2 linked regions of the Rhinolophus ferrumequinum genome follow. The protein of the gene in region 2 interacts with the protein of the main gene of each other region in a biochemical or structural test. Links are inferred from orthologs where the notes say so. Each region holds a gene or a part of one and is shown on either strand. Other genes may lie near its edges.

Region 1 (8,006 bases), on a different chromosome or scaffold from region 2:
TATAACAAAAATATGATATATAATATGCAATGTATATGAATTACAATGTACACCATTACTCATGTAATAAGGTACCATAGGAACATTTTTACTGTGAGATTATTATAATTAGCAAACAGCATATTACCATCATCATCAGGTATTATTCACAATCATGACAATAACTCCTGCTGAGCCACCACTGGGTGCCAGCCACCATTCTAAGTGCTTTACTTATGCCCATCAGGTCATGTAAGCCCTCATGGACACCCTAGTGTCAGTGGGTGCTACTGTTGATATTTCTATTATACAGATGAGGAAACCAAGGCCTAGAGAGGCCCAGAGATTCCTGTGAGTGTAGAGGGCTGGCCTTGCTCATCACCCACCCACCCTAGAGCGGGTCCTCAGCATCACTCACTGCCCCAGACTGGACTGAGACCTGGATGGGCATGACGTCATATACCACCCGGGTGTTATATGCTTACATCTAATATGCACATTTTCATATTGAATAAATTATATAGTTTGTATTATTGTACATTTATCATTAAAGTATCTATTTTATTTGTGTGAATTATTTAGATTTATTTTATACTTTTATCTATTTGTTATATATTTCATATTTACTTAGGAACTTATTGGATAACTGCTTATTTTATAAACTATAATTCTATATGTTGCATTTGTTTATTCTATTGTTTTATGAAGTTATGTTTGTATAAATTATAATCTATATTTATTTTTACATAATCACTATATTTATATTTATTAATACAATTATTTCATAAATTTGTTACCTATTTTTATTGTACTGAATCATTATATAGTTATTAATTATATAAAGTATTTACATACATATATTTATCTAACTTATTTTTATATATTTATTGTATATCTCATATTTCTAAATTTGATATGTCATCATGTTGTGTTTACATATTTGCATGTTTCTATTACATAAATTATATTTAAAACATCTTATTACGTGTAGTAAACGGTGCCTATGAGGCTATACCAGCATTCCTTACACAGGGCTTGCACTACCCCATGTAATGTTTAGAATATTTGTAACTAGTGACAAAGGCTCCTTACAGAGTGAGGGCGCAAGATGTGCGAAGCGCTTTTTACCCACACCAGTTATTTCATCCTCAGGCCAGTTTAGTCTTCAGCATCCGCATTTCACCCAACGAGAAACCGAGGCCAGAGGGACTGGGTAAAGCGCCCCAGGGTCACAGAGGCGATCCGGGCCTGTGTGGCCATCCGTCCACACCCTCGCTGCCGCAGGGCCTCTAGGTTCCTCTTTCCCCAGAAGCTTCCTCCACTGACCACAGGAGTGAGAGACTACCGCCCGGTTGTCAGGAGCAGGTGCGCACCTGCCCCGCCCACCCCGCCCAGCAGCCCGAAGGTTCGGGGAACATGACCCCGGCACAGGGACCTGAGGGTGCGTGCGGCCCCTCCCAGCCAGGCAATGGACTTCGCCCTCTGGGGCCCTGCGGTTAGAGCATGAAGACTTAGACAGGGATAAAGAGCGACAGAGAGAGAGGTGCTACTGAGAGAAAAACAGAGAGACCTCGAGGCGAGGAGACACTCTAGACACCGAAAGAGATCGAGAGAGAGGGAGAGAAAGGGTGAGAGACAGAGGGAGAAGGGGGAGGGAGGGAGAGGGAGGGAGACAGAGAAAGAGAGGGAGAGAGAGGGAGAGGGAGAGGGGGGGGAAGAAGAAGGGAGAGAGGGAGAGAGGGAGAGGGAGGGAGGGGGAGAGGAAGAGGGGAAAGAAGAAGGGAGGGAGAGGGCGAGGGAAACAGGGAGAGAGAGGAAGAGAGGGAGAGGAGGAGGGGGAGGGAGAGGGGAAAGAGGAGAGGGAGAAGAGGGGGAGAGAGAGGAGGGAGGGGGGAGGGGAGAGGGAGGAGGAGGAAGGGGGAAGAGAAGGAGGGGAGGGGAGGGAAACGGGGAAGGAGACAGGGGGGCGAGAGGGAGCGAGGGAGGCGGACGAGGGGGAGAGAGAGGGAGGGAGGGAAAGAGGGGGAAAGAGCGGGAGGGAAGGGAAAGGAGACGCGGGGAGTTGGGGGAGGGAGGGAGGGGAGGGGGAAGAAAGAGGGAGGGAGAGAGAAAGGGAGAGAGAGAGAGGGAGGGAGGGGAGAGAAGGAGGGAGGGGGGAAGAAAGAGGGAGGGAGAGGGAGAGGGAGAGAGGGAAGAGGGAGGGAGGGGAGAGGGAGAAGGAGACAGGGAGAGAGAGAGAGAGGGGAGAGAGGGAGAGGGAGGAGAGAGGGAGAGGGAGAGGGAGAGGGGGAGGGAAGGAGGAAAGGGAGAGGGGGGAGATAGAGCGGGAGAGGGAGAGAAGCAGAGACAGGGAGAGGGAGAGAGACAGAGAGGAGAGGGAGAGGGGGAAGAGAAAGGAGAGGGGGGAGATGGAGGGAGAGGAGAGAGACAGGGAGAGGGAGAGAGAAAGAGAGGGAGAGGGAGAGGGGGAAAGAGAAAACGGAGAGGGGGAGATGGAGGGAGAGGGAGAGAGGGAGAGGGAGAGGGGGAACAGAGAGGAGGAGAGAGGGAGAGGGAGGGAGGGAGGGGAGGACAGAGACGAGACAGAGGGACAGAGGCAAAGCGAGGCAGGACGCACAAGACAGACGACCGGACCGTCCAGGGCGAGGAGCCGCAGCGCGCGCCCGTGCAGCGGTCCACACTCGCGCACTCACACTGAACTCGCCGGCGAGGACCGCCCCCTCCCGGTCGCCCAGCGCCTCCAAGTGCTCCAGGAAGCTCTGCGCCCGTCCAAGCTGCGACTCATAGCGCGGCTGGCCAGCTGGGTCCAGTCGGGCAGCTGCGCCGGGAGTTCGCAGCCCCAGCGGTGCCGCTCGAGGTCGAGGCCCCGCCTCCGATTTCACCAGCCAATGGGAGCGCGCAGCGGCCGGCGCCCCTTGGCCAATGACACTCAGAGCCTTCCCAGCCTCTTTCACAAGCTTCCAGACCCCGGCGGCAACTTCCCGACATGGTCCTGGCGCACTGGCCTGGGGAAGTGAGTCCAGCGCTGGCGCTTCCCTCTTTTGTGGCCGCCGCGCCGGCCCGACTGAGGCCTCACAGTCCACGGACACTTCTTCCCGCTTGGACCCGGGATCCGCGCTCGGGGCGCACCTTCCTCCTGGTGCCCGAGCTGGGTGGATGGCCGCGCGCCCTCACCCGGCTCCCCGGCCCATCACCTGGGGGCTAGGCTGCGTCGGGGAGCGAGCCTGGCTGGGGGTGGGGGTGGAGGGGAGTGGCGGCACGCGGCAGCTGTGAGTGGAGACGGCGCCGAGATGGTGCTGCCTCTTCTGCTTCGGGGACCCCGGGGTGGGGGACATCCCGCTCTGTGAGTTCCGGTGTGGTCCAAGGGAAGTCGGAAAGGTAACCGGGGGCGGGGGGAAAAGGCACACGGGCACCCGTGCTGTGAGAAAGACCGAGTGGAAGCAGATGCTCCTGAATCCGAGTATTTCCTGAGGGTCCTTTTTCTGGGTTGGGCTAGGAGGAGCTGGGACCGCCAAATTCCAGTCCTACCCTGTTTCCCGGAAAATAAGACCTAACTGGAAAATAAGCCCTAGCATGATTTTTCAGGATAACAAAAATCATAAGCTCTAATGCGTCTTCTGGAGCAAAAATTCATATAAGACCCTGTCTTATTTTCCGGGAAACACAGTAGTTTGAGGATCTAAATCTGCATATACCTACGGAGAAACCCAGAACTGAGGCCTGGAAATGGGTTCCAGGGACAAGGTGGTCTCAACACTTTCAAAGAGCATCTTTTTTTCTCTTTCCACACCCTGGGCTTCAGAAAATGTGCAGGGAAAAGCCAGAGGACAGCTGCTGCCCCAGCTTCCGGAGTCACCAAACAGAGGCTGGAAAGAGCAGATAGGAGCCTAGGGGTGTGGCCAAGAACTGGCCTGGGCAGGTAGGCTAGCCCAACCCCTTACCGGGATCACGGGAGGAATTTCGGGAAGGGAGTTGTCAATAGAGAGGGTGTCTGCAGAATCCAGTTTGAGGTCGTTGAGGTGTCGAAGGGGTGACAGTGGGTGAGGTGTACCTTGTCATGAGGGATCAACAGGGTCATGGTTCACGTTGTGGATTTAATTCATTAGGGAGTTACCAGAAAGATGTTTAAGGTAGGGATGGGCAAACCCTTTCTTAAAGGACTTTGTTCTGTGGTCTGTGCCAGCTACTCAACTCCACCAATGCAGTGTGAAAGCAGCCATAGGCAATATATAAAGGGATGAGTGTGGCTGTGTGTCAATAAAACTTTATTTATTTGTGGACACTAAAATTTTACTTTCATGTAATTTTCATGTGTTACAAAACACATGAATTCTTTATTCCCCCCCCCCCCCCCCCCCCCCCCGTGGCCTGCAGGCTGTGGTTTGCTGACGCTGGTTTGTGACTGAAAGGTCAAAGTGGATCAGTGGGGCTGTTTCATTTACTGAGGAGTTACTGGGGGTCACTGTGGACTCCGGTTATCAGTTTCATTTTTAAGGGTTCAAAGGTGGTCAGATCACTGAGGATGGACATTGATAGTGAATTCACTGGAGGCCAGTAGGAGATCTGTGGATGTTTCTGGGGACTGTCATTGGATGTTACAGCAGTCACTGGGAGGTCAGTAAAAGACAGTGAAAGTAACTGAGGGGCCCCTGGAATTTGGAGTCTTAGTTTAAGTAATTGAGGGGTCAAGAGAGTCAGGGAAGGTCACTGAGGGCTCCTACTCAGGACACAATAGTGAATGTTGGTGGAATCACTGAGATTTCGTGGATGGTCATGGCTTAGTCAGGGAGGTGGGATACAGATGTATCTATATACTCTGACAAAATAAGAGATCACTGGAGGAGTCACAGAGACTCCTGCATTTCTGAGTCCTCATGGATACTAATGGCAGTCATTCGGGACTAGTGCATATGAGCAAATGGGAAAGTCACTGAGCGATCATGAAAGCGCTTTGTGGACCCTGGTGGTAGTAGATGTCATTGAAAGTCAATGGTTACTGCAAACTGGTGGTACCTGGGGATAGAGGTGACACTGAGGGAGCAGTGGGCCATCCCTATCATCCATGGTGGTGACTGGAAGGAAGGCTGACCCAGCAACTGGGGTTTGACTAGCTGAGGATGTTCTGTCCACCTAGGGGTGTAGGCTCTGTTGGTCTGACTGGGTGGCGTGTATCTGTCCACCTGGCTTCAGGGTCTGTCTATCCAGCTGGCTTGAGGGGATCTCTCTGTATATCCTTCCAAGAGCCTGGCTTCCACATAGGCTGAGGTCTTTCCTACTGGCAGAGGTTAAGTCTGTCAAGCTAAAGGTCTGGCTGGCTAGTTGACTGGGTAGGTGGGGTATCTCTCCACTGGGATAACATCTCTTTGTCCAGTTGTGTGTGTGGGAGGGGGGCTGTCCTTGAGGGATTCTGTCTTTTGGTTGGCTGGACATGGGGTAGGGGGGACATCCATGTGTCTGGCCACAGGTCTTTCTAGATGTCTGGCTAGGCATCTTACCATCTGTCCAAGAATCTGTCCATTTGTCTGGCTGTCCTGCTGGAGTCTATTCGTCTCCCCAGGACTCTATCTAGAAGTCTGTCTTCCTGGGGATCTTTCTGCCTATCTGGGATCTTATGGCCTATAAACACAAGTGGCCAAGGCTGTGGTCCACCTGTCATGCTTCTTGCTGGTTTGGGTGTCTTTCTGGCTGCATGTTCACCCATGGGGGCACTCCATGCCCCCCTCATTGTTTAACCTGCCTGTCCTCCTGACCATCCCTCCACGTCTCTCCAAACATTCAAACTCTCCTGGCTTGTCTTCCACGCAGGCTGGGTGTGGGGAATGGAAAGATCCTTAAAACCTCCACAGCGGCCTCAGCCGGTCCACCTCTCCCTTCTCCCAGAGGACTACAAGCTGTGTTCTTGCAGTGGGATGTGCTGCTTCTGGTGGCCCCCTTATTCACCCTACTGGTGGCAGTCTTGTGCACTGGGTGCAGATGGCATGGCCCTGCATATGCTGAGCACCCTGATGCCTACATGCCACATGACAGTCTGCCACCTGAGTGCTTGCTGAACTGGCCACTCAACAGAGCCAGGTGGACTGGGTGCTGGAATGTACTCAAGGATGCTTTCGCTGTGCTGAGAGGAATCCAGCCTGCCTTCATGTTGCCAAGGAGAAAATCCTAACTATGGTGGGGAAACCTAGCAGACACCACCTTAATCTGAGAAGTTGTGGGGAGATACTCTGAGACTATTGACATCTCCACTTAACAGTCCTCTCTGCCTTCCTTTGCTAGTAAAGGACAGAAAAAAATTTGAAAAATATTCTCCCACTGCTCCCTTTATTAAGAACCTGCAGCTGGGTCTGGGCTATTGAGCTATGGCCCATCCACAAATCTGGCATTCGGCAAATAGGAAAAATGTCACTCCAGTTACAAAGTGGCAGCTTCCGTGATTGGAGCTAACTGCCTTTGGGAGGGCTTTGGTTTCAGCCTCCTGACTCTCTTCAGGGGTTCTCGGTTTGTGTTCTGAATGGAAGATCCTTCCTGGTCCCTTTCTGGGGAAACGGTCAGCAGCTCAGAGCTGGGGGAACACAACCCACAAAGAAAGCCACCCTACTTTCTGTTGCACTGCCAACCCCCACCACCCCTGCTCTTTGAAGAGGCCAGCTTTCTACCCTCAGGAACTGCCCTGCAGTAGAACTGCAGGGAAGGAAAAAGCACTCTTCCCTATTTTTAAAAAATGACATCCTTAATATGTTCATACCAACTCTTCCCCAGGCTGGCCCCCCTCTTCCAGGGCTGAGCCTGGGCATCACCCAGAATGAGCTCCAGAAGGGAGCATGTGCCTTTGGAGGCAGCCGACTCAGCCCTGACTCTGAGCTGACAGCTCAGGTTCCTGTGACCTCCAGTGTTCTGACAGTCAGCGGGCAGCATCTTGATCAGGGTCAAGCCGCCCTGCATCCTGGCTTGCAGCATCTCTGCCCAACTTTAACCCTGTACTCGGGACAAACAACACTAAGTAGCTGAAATAATATATTTGGAATATATGATACATAAATATATGTATTTGGAATAATTGTTTATTTTTTAGGTGTGATAATGGTATGATTTTTGTTGAGTGCCTATGTTTTAGAGATATATGAAACATTTATGAATGAAATGATGTCTGAGATTTGCTTCAAAATAAGCGAGTGGAGTGGATGTAGGAAGTGGGTAGGCTGTAAAGGAAACCAGATTGGTCAACATACATGGGCTCATGGACTCTTGCACGTCCGTCTGCTATGTTTGAAATTTCCCACAATTAAAAGATTTAAAATAATCAACCAGTAGAGAGGTGAACAATCGTTTTTATAAAAAGAGCAAACACGTCACAGAGAACACACAAATGGCCAATAAGCATTTGAACAGATGCACAACTTTCATCATAATTAAAGAAATGCAAATTCAATTAGGAAACATTTTGCACCTAAAGCTTGGCAAAAATGACAAGTCTGATAGTGCCCAGTGCTGGCAAGGACACAGGAAACAGATCTATTCGTAGTGGCCAGGACAGTCTCGTGAAGGACAATTCAGCAGCATGTATGATCATTTTAAAGACAAAATTCCACTTGTAGGAAGTTATTCATCAGATATACTTGCATGAGAATGCACAAAAGTATGTTCAATGATTTTTATTTCAATTAAATTTATTAGGATAACACTGGTTAATAACGTCATATAAATTTCTGGTGTACAAGCTTATAATATGACGTCTGACACTTGTGTGCTCATGTGCTCACCACCCAAAGTCTATGTCACCACACATTTGACCCTCTTGATCCTACCCCACACCCCGTCCCTCTGGTAACCACCAACCATTCTGTTGTATCTATGAGTTTATTTGTTGCTTTTTATTTTATATCCCATGAGACTGAAATCACATGACATTCTTGAAGCAATGTTTGTGATAGTAAATAAACACAGGAAACAAATGTGCAGCCATTACAAGGAGGTGGAGCCACAAGTACTGGACCTCCTAGACAACCTGGAAGTACGCTCGGTGACCTCGG
Region 2 (7,641 bases):
GGTGTGCGTAAGGGGGGGAGGGACAGATTGTGTAGGGTCTATATAGGCTATGTAAGGACAAGGATCATTGTCCTGAGAACAGTGGGAACTCATAACAAGGTGACAATGGGAAGGTACATGATCAAATCTGGGTCTGAAGGTGCCACTCCACTGTGTGGAGAACAGACAGTAGTGAGCAGAGTCGATTTCAGGATGTGCAACTACAAGACCTGCTGCTCAGGAGGGCCCTGCATTTGGGGCTTAAGGGTCTGCAGTCGTCATCTTGAAATTCTTCACAATATTAGCTTCAAATTTGTGTTTTGTAAGTGAAGATCAATGGGAGACCAATGCAGCATCAAGGACTTAGAGCCTTGGCTCAGCTGCCTCCTGCCACCTCCCCTGGATGGGTTCTCAGCTTTCCCCTCCCAGCTCCCGTGCAACGACCCTGCCACCCTCTGCCCCCATCAGGGACATGGGTGCATGTGTGGGGAGGCTCAGGGCTGCCTGGTGGCATCTCAGAATGGGGCACAGCAGTGGCTGATGGCACTATACCACATTTGGCAGGTGACTTCCACTCCTGACCAAGTACCTAGTGCACCCTTGCATGAGTTTGCAAATACCCTTGGGGATTGCAGTCCACCTTGGGAAAGGGAGATGACTGGCTTGACTTCCCGGACCCCAGCTGGGGAATGGAGTCCGGTGGCTGATAAGGAAACCCAGCAGCTGGTGGGTTTTGCATAAAAGTGAGTAAACGAGAGGAGGGCCCTTGTCCTACAAGTATGTCCAGGCCCAACGGAGTGTAACATTAAACAGCAAATAAAGTACTAGGCCAGGCTAAGATAACATGGGAAAGGAAAACATTTATGTTTTAGTACATTTAATAGTAATTTCCCCCTGCTTTTTTAGTAAGAGGCCCACATTCTTATTTTGCATTGACCCTGGAAATTACATAGCTGATGGTGGTAGAGAACAATCAGTAAGATGAAGTGTATAAAATCCGTGCAGGTCCCGCAGCTATTAATACTACTTTAATGGTAGCCAGGATTATTTGTGTTGTTTATTTGGCTCAAAAGGATGGATGACGTGGCTTCAGGAGCTGAGCCCTGCTATGTGGCTGGCTATGACAACTGATATTGTGACAACTGATTTGGCATTTTATACTCAGTCCTTCAACCTACTACTTCTTGAATTCTTCAGGCAGATGTGTTCAAATACCGTGCAAAACAGGATGGGGCTCTGCCTGCACAGGGGGACTCCCCTTTAAAAAGGAGCAACAGCCTGGCTTGAGGCACAGCTGCCCAGTCCTCAAGGCAAACTGTTTTGCAGCAGCTAGAACAGTCATTAAAAAGCTGTGATTTTCAGGACTGGAGTCTCCTCCCCAGGGGGCTGGTGACAGAGGGACGCCCAAGAACAGTTCCCTTTTCTGAGGGGCATTTGTATGTCTCTGTTCTGATGTCTCACCTCCCTGATGTCCCATCAGCCCACCCCCTACCCCGGCTGCGCCATCCAGGGTCCATCTGTCTCTCAGGGATATTACAACAACCTCTGCTGGTCTCATCCTCTCTGAGCCATTTCCCATCTGGAGGGATCTTTCTCGAACCTGCCTGTAGGCTCCCCAAGGCAGAGACCAGGTGTGCCTTGTCTCTGGGCCCCTGTTCCGACAGGGTCTGGGAGCAGTCGGTGCCCACAGCGCTTGCGGAGCGGCTGGGGGGGGGGGGGGCGGCGCTGGTTGCGGTGATTGACGCCCAACACGCAGAGCATCTCCGTCAGGGAGTCCTGAGGCCAGTGGTGGTGACCTGTGAGCACGGGACTCATTTCTGGCCAATGAGACACCAGGGGAGTTCTCCTGGGAGGTTGGGAAGGAGGCGGAGGAGAAGAGAGGCTCGGGAAAGAGGGGACACAGAAGCGTCCTTTCTCCTCCTGGAGGTGTGTCGGTGTCAGGAGCATTGGAGGAGAGCTCTGCCGCCCCAGAAGGAGATAGTGAAGTAGGAGAATCACAGAGAAACGGAATTGGGGCCCGAATGGACCCCACGGAGCTTGCCTTCCCTCCAGACCCCTCGTTGGGACATGACACCCTTGCTCTGTGTCAGACCCTCTGGTTTTGTGTTCCTGCAGTCAAGGCACCCTCAGAGGGTGCACGTCACACAACGAGCCAGAAGACCCTGTGCCAGGCTTGGACTCTTGCCAAGTAGCACCGCAGGCCCCACGACGCTCCCTTGGCTTAGTTTTAACAGCTATCGAAAAGGGGAGAGGTTCTGGAGGCGTCACTTGAGGAAGGAAGGAAGACACCTGCTGTGCAGAGTGGAGGTCAGGAGCATGAGCTTTCACGTCACACAGACCTGGCCTAAAGGCCAGCGCTCCACTTACTGGCCACGAGGTGTCGGGTGAGTCACATAAACTCTTTTTTTGTTGTTTTTAGTACTGAATTACACTTTATTTTTTGAACTTTAAACGAAAAACAACCACACTGACGTGTAGTGATGTGAGAGCAACAGTGCTTGGTGTACTTTTTTTTTTTTTAATAATTGTTGTTTTTTTCAGTTACAGTTGACATACAATATTATATTAGTTTCAGATGTACAACACATACATTCCTTAGTCACCTGTTTGCTCATCTGTGAAGCAGGGATGGTGACAGTGTGCACCCCGCAGGGTGGGGGGAGGACTGTGTGAAGGGCCTGTAGAGCCTTCCTGTGCCACTGGCACTCAGCAAGTGCTGCAAAGCCGCATGGGCTGTTCCGGCCCAGCCCTGGAAGGTGCAAACGGTGGGGCGCTGAGGAGAGAAGGAAGAAGCCCTCTCCGTAGCAGAGAACTTTATGGTTTCTTTAGATGCCTGCCATTACTTCCTTCCTCAATTATTTTAGCCCACAACCCGCACGGCCATCCATCCGGGGCTGCCCCAGCTGAAACAGAGCAGTTAGGAAAGGAGGGCCTCCTGTGTGAGAGCCTTGAGATGAGCCTTAAGGGCTGGGAGGGCCTGCCCAGGTCAGGAACAACAAGGAAGGCATGCCAGCAGGGAGGCTGGGGGACAAAAGGGTGAGGTGTGGACAAGGAGTGTGAAGAGTACCTTTGGGGAGAGGGGAAAAGGCCTGTTGGGAGCAGAAATTTGTGGGGGGCTGATGGGAGGAACTTCTGGAGAGGCAGGGGAGAGAGACTGGCTACGAGGTGTTCTGCCGATAAGAAGGTCTGAGCCTTCTATTAACAGAGGATTTCTAGTCTGCCTGTAGAACTAGGGCATTATCCGGTTTGACAGGTGGAAAAACGAAGGCCAGGGAGGCTGAGTCAGAGCTTTCGGAGACGGGACGCCACTGGGATGAGGTGCAGTCTCTCAGCATTTGGCCGTTGGGGTTCAAGGTGATATTCATACCATTAGATGTCTTCCGCGGCAAGCAACAGAAAACCTAACTAGGGTGCCTTCAATACTTATTAGAAGATGTTTATTAGCTCAAACCCAGAGGTCTGGGAGACAGGGGGTTACCGGGGGCAACCACACCCCTCTGCGGTTCTCCCTGACGTGTTCTCTCTTGGGGCTATGTCAGAAGTATGCGTGTGCCCCATCTCCAATCCTGGGCACACATCTCTGGCACTTGGGAGCTTAGCTCTTGTACAGCAGTTTTCACTTGTCTCGTCAGTGGGGGTGCTCGCGGGGGTGCTGATTTGTGGACAAGCTGATTCATCCTTTCTTGTCAACTGGCTTTGGGCTCAGGAGCCCCTGCTGGCATCTTCTGTTGCGTGGGCAGGCCCTGGCCCCTCAGAGCTGTGTCTGGGGCTCCAGCCCAGGGCTCCTCTCGCGGTGGTACCTGACAATGCCCCCAGCACCTGCCCAGCCAAACCAGAAATTCTGGTAACGGTCTCAAGACTTTTTCCTTTCCAAAGACTGAGGGTGGCAGATGGGGAAACTGAGGCTCAAAGAGTTGGAGAGTCAATTAATATCCCTCAGCCAGTGAAGGGTGGGGCCCAAACAAAACAAAAACTGGGCCTCAACCTGGATTTTCAAACTCCTCCATCTGTATCTTTATACTACTCTCTCTCTTGGTCCAACCACATTCTTCCAGTCTGAAGACTCCACCTTCAGAGGGGGCATCCTGCCCCAAAGTGTCTCATCTGGAGACTTGGGGCTGGGGTGGGGAGAGTGCCCGTGAAGCCTCAGACGGTTCTCTCTTGGCCAGTTATCTACTCACCACACCTCGGTGCTCCCACAGTCCCCAGAGCCCAGCTGTGTCTGCCCCTAGATCGTGAGCTCCTTGAGGGCAGATGTGGATTGGGGCACCGAGAAATCAGGGTTTGATGAATGATGAAGTCCTAGGGCTGGGGAAGCCTCTCCCGAACAGTTTGCTGGTGAGGGCTGTAGAGTCTAGCATCTCTGCGCCTGATCGGGAGTGGGGCTCGGGCCCTGTCCTTGCCCACACCTTCAGTGGGCTTCAGGCTCCCTAAATGTACAGCCGTTGAGAATGGCCCAGTAGAGGGCAAGTGGAGGCAAGCAGCAGGGTGACAGTGGCAGGCGGAGCTGCACAGGGGAGCACACTGGCTCTACTTCCTGTGGGCGAGCGCCCTGGTACCCGCCCCCGGGGAGAGGTTGCACAGACCTTCCTGTGCAGCCTTGGGCTGCCTGCCTGCCTTGTCCGTGTACAAAACTATCTCTCCCTCTGGCCACTGCCTCCTACCTGGGGCTGGCATCCCTACTTAGTCCTGCAGCCTGGGAGGCTCTCCGCCACCATCACTGTGCAGCGGGTAAGGGGCCAGGCAGGACACCAGGACCCGCCGTCCCATCACCGGGCTCTGCTCCTTCCTCATTCTGCTGTGCGCTTTTCCTCCTTCTGGCAGCTCAGCTCTGGCTTGTGTGCCTCTTGAGGTGCTGCAAACAGCACCGGCTGAGTTGGGGGAGCCTGGGCCAGCCTACCAGGCAGGTCTGAGACAGTGCTCCTGGCTCCTGGCCTCATTCAGCCCTGTCTGTGGCAGGAAAACAAGTTTTGCCGCAGCATTTTCCTGAAGATGATGCCCCAGCTTCAGTTCAGAGATTCCTTTTGGGTGAGTGAAGACGGTCTGGGAATTTAACAGCCGAGTGCAGCTTGGCTGAAGTTTCCCCAGGGCAGATGATGGGGGTGTGGTTCCCAGAGAAGATGGGGGTGTTCTCATAAAAATACTGGTTGGTTTTTGGCCTTAATTGTGGGAGTGACCTGGGCCACTCTTCCTTCTAAGTTGGAAGATGAAGCGAGTCCTCGGCCTGGGGTATTGATTTCTCTGCAAACTCCAACACAGTGAGCAAAGGGGTATCCCCTATGCCCCCCCGGGGCTCTTTCTCCTCCAGGCGACCCTCTCCCCATGGCAGGATCTTCTTAGGAGAGTCTAATATGTGGGTGGGAGTTTGAGGAGGCCAGGCAAGGCAAAGGAAGGAATGGGGCACAGGTTTGGGGACAAAACAAACTCGAATTTGAATCTTGGCTCTGCTATTTAAAGGCTGGACAAGTCATTTTATTTCTCTGACCTCATTTTCCCCATCTGTATAGTGGAGATTAATATTAATATACATACCAGCTGAATGGGAGGGTTAAACAAGGTGATCAAATGTAATCAGGTCCCCTGCTCCTTGCTGGCACCCAAATGGTAACTCTCTTCCCTCACCCAGCCCCTCTTCGTGCAGCCCTTAGGGGCCCTTTGAGGAGGCAGCAGGGCTGAGCAATTCCTTGCTCGCTTTCTTAAATTCAATGCAGCTGTAAATAAAATCCTTTCCATGAAATAATGGCAGCCACCCGATTCATTGAGGTGAAATGGATTGGCTCAGGCCACACGGCCTGCAAGCCCAGTTTGGACCCCAGATCCCCTCAGCTTTTTTCTAGCTGTCCCTCAACCTTCCCATCTGCTCTTCAAGCTCTGGCTGCCCCCAGTGGCTCATGGAGAAAAGCTCAGACCTCTCTGGTTAGAGTTAATGAATGAGGCTGTTCCGAGGGCCCCCCTTTCCGTCCCAAGGAAGACGCCCTGGCCCTTTGGGTTAGCCAACAGCCTCCCTTCCCTGGACCCTTTTCTGAGTGACCTGCTTCACGCCTACATTGACCACACAGGGGGCAGAGGGCCATCTAGGGAGAGCACCCTGTGCCTCTCTGGATCTTCGTTTCCCCATCTCTACAAAGAACCAGGAATCAGCCCAGAGAAGCCGGGGAAGGCAGAGGTGGCCCAACCCATCCCAAGCACCAGGAGGGCAGCTACAGCTCACTTGGGGTGCGGTGGCTGCAGTGGGGGAGGCAGAGAGTGGTGAGTCACGTCCCCGCTCTGACTCGGAGTACAAGGCTGGGGAAAGGGGCAGGGCCTGGAAGGGCAGGTTGCTGTGTAGCCCGGGGCAGGCCAGGAGACCCTGACTGTTTTACCTCCAGGACATCCCAGGCCTGGGTGCCTGGGTGCACCTTCTCTAGGGCAGAGCTGAGGCAAGGAACAGCCCCATGGCAGAACCTCAGCAGTGGGGGATGGTGTATGAGGGCACAGGTTATGACAGCAGCAAGAAAGCAGCTCACCTGTGTCAGCGTCCTGAGCTGGCCTCCAATCACACTCTGCATGTGCCCCACCTCTGAGCTGCTCAGGGCTCCATGGCCTCCGGGTGCCCCCTCTCCTGCACTGCTGGCTCCCTGGGCCTGGGGCGAGGGTATAGCTTCCCTGGGGAAGGCCAGAGCTGGGAGAGAAAGAAGTGGACAGTGGGAGCCTCTCACACTGATCCTCAGGTGACCCCAAATGTCACTGTCAGCACTGAGGAACCCCTGATCCCCAGCCCAGCACAGCCCATGAAGACAACTAATACTCACGGAGCACTAAAGATGTGCCAGGACCAGGTGTCCACTTACTCATTTAAACCAATGAAGTAGATGCTATTGTTATCCATATTATTCAGAGGAAAAAAATGAAGGCACAGAGAGTTTAAGTTACTTGCCCAAGCTCACACAGCTGGGATTAAACCCTGGCTCCAGTGCCTGGGTTCTCATGTAGGGTGCTTCATTCCCCTCTATCAACATGGCAAGTCACTAAATCTTTGGGCCACGTTGGCAAAACGGATGGAAAAATTCTGTCCGTCCTACATCCCAGAGAAGTAAGAAGATCAAACAAGGTTGATAGAACTACCTTGAAGCTCAATTTACAGACAAATCTGTCAGACACAAAAGACATACTGATCTGTTGCTGAGGGAGTGTTAGGGACAGAGCCCAGCCTGCCCCTTCCCTGACTGTCACCCCCGACCCCAGGCCAAGGCAATGCCATTAAACCCTGCGGCTTGGCAGCACACAATATAAAAATGACTAGTCTTTAATAGTGGAAGGAAACCACTGAACTAGAAGAATCCTGTCTAATTCCACCGCACTTCAGTTATCTCGCAGCCTCAACTATCCAGAACACGAGTTGCCAGCTCTGTTTCCTGCAGTAGCTCACAGTAAGGAGAGAAATAGAAGTGGTTTCTGAGGAGCTAAGAGCTTGTATTAAAGCTCATATAGTTTACCCATAGGACATGGCTCATAGCTTTTAGTTAGGGCCTATGAACTCTGATTATACCCATTATTATTATTATTATTATTATTATTATTATTATTGAGATTCCAAGAGTTTTAGGAGCTGTGCGCCATGAAACAGGAGCAGAGACCAAATACATATTTCTCCACATGTCACAGGCAGATACTATCTGTATT

What was found. The genes of interacting proteins can lie anywhere in the genome.
Region 1: the proteins of PSTPIP1 (region 2) and PTPN18 form a complex in vitro, tested with the Homo sapiens proteins (2 studies listed by BioGRID and IntAct). The link is inferred for Rhinolophus ferrumequinum from reciprocal best matches to the Homo sapiens genes PSTPIP1 and PTPN18.

What each region holds. Positions count from the first base shown.
Region 1 is NC_046293.1:91,748,832-91,756,837, reverse strand, and holds the start of PTPN18 (tyrosine-protein phosphatase non-receptor type 18), read right to left. Parts: upstream 3,109-8,006; 5' UTR 2,673-3,108; intron 1,092-2,672; exon of another isoform or gene 1,072-1,091; intron 1-1,071. UniProt on the Homo sapiens protein: Differentially dephosphorylate autophosphorylated tyrosine kinases which are known to be overexpressed in tumor tissues.
Region 2 is NC_046289.1:100,969,668-100,977,308, reverse strand, and holds the start of PSTPIP1 (proline-serine-threonine phosphatase-interacting protein 1), read left to right. Parts: upstream 1-4,542; 5' UTR 4,543-4,971; coding exon 4,972-5,007; intron 5,008-7,641. UniProt on the Homo sapiens protein: Involved in regulation of the actin cytoskeleton. May regulate WAS actin-bundling activity. Bridges the interaction between ABL1 and PTPN18 leading to ABL1 dephosphorylation.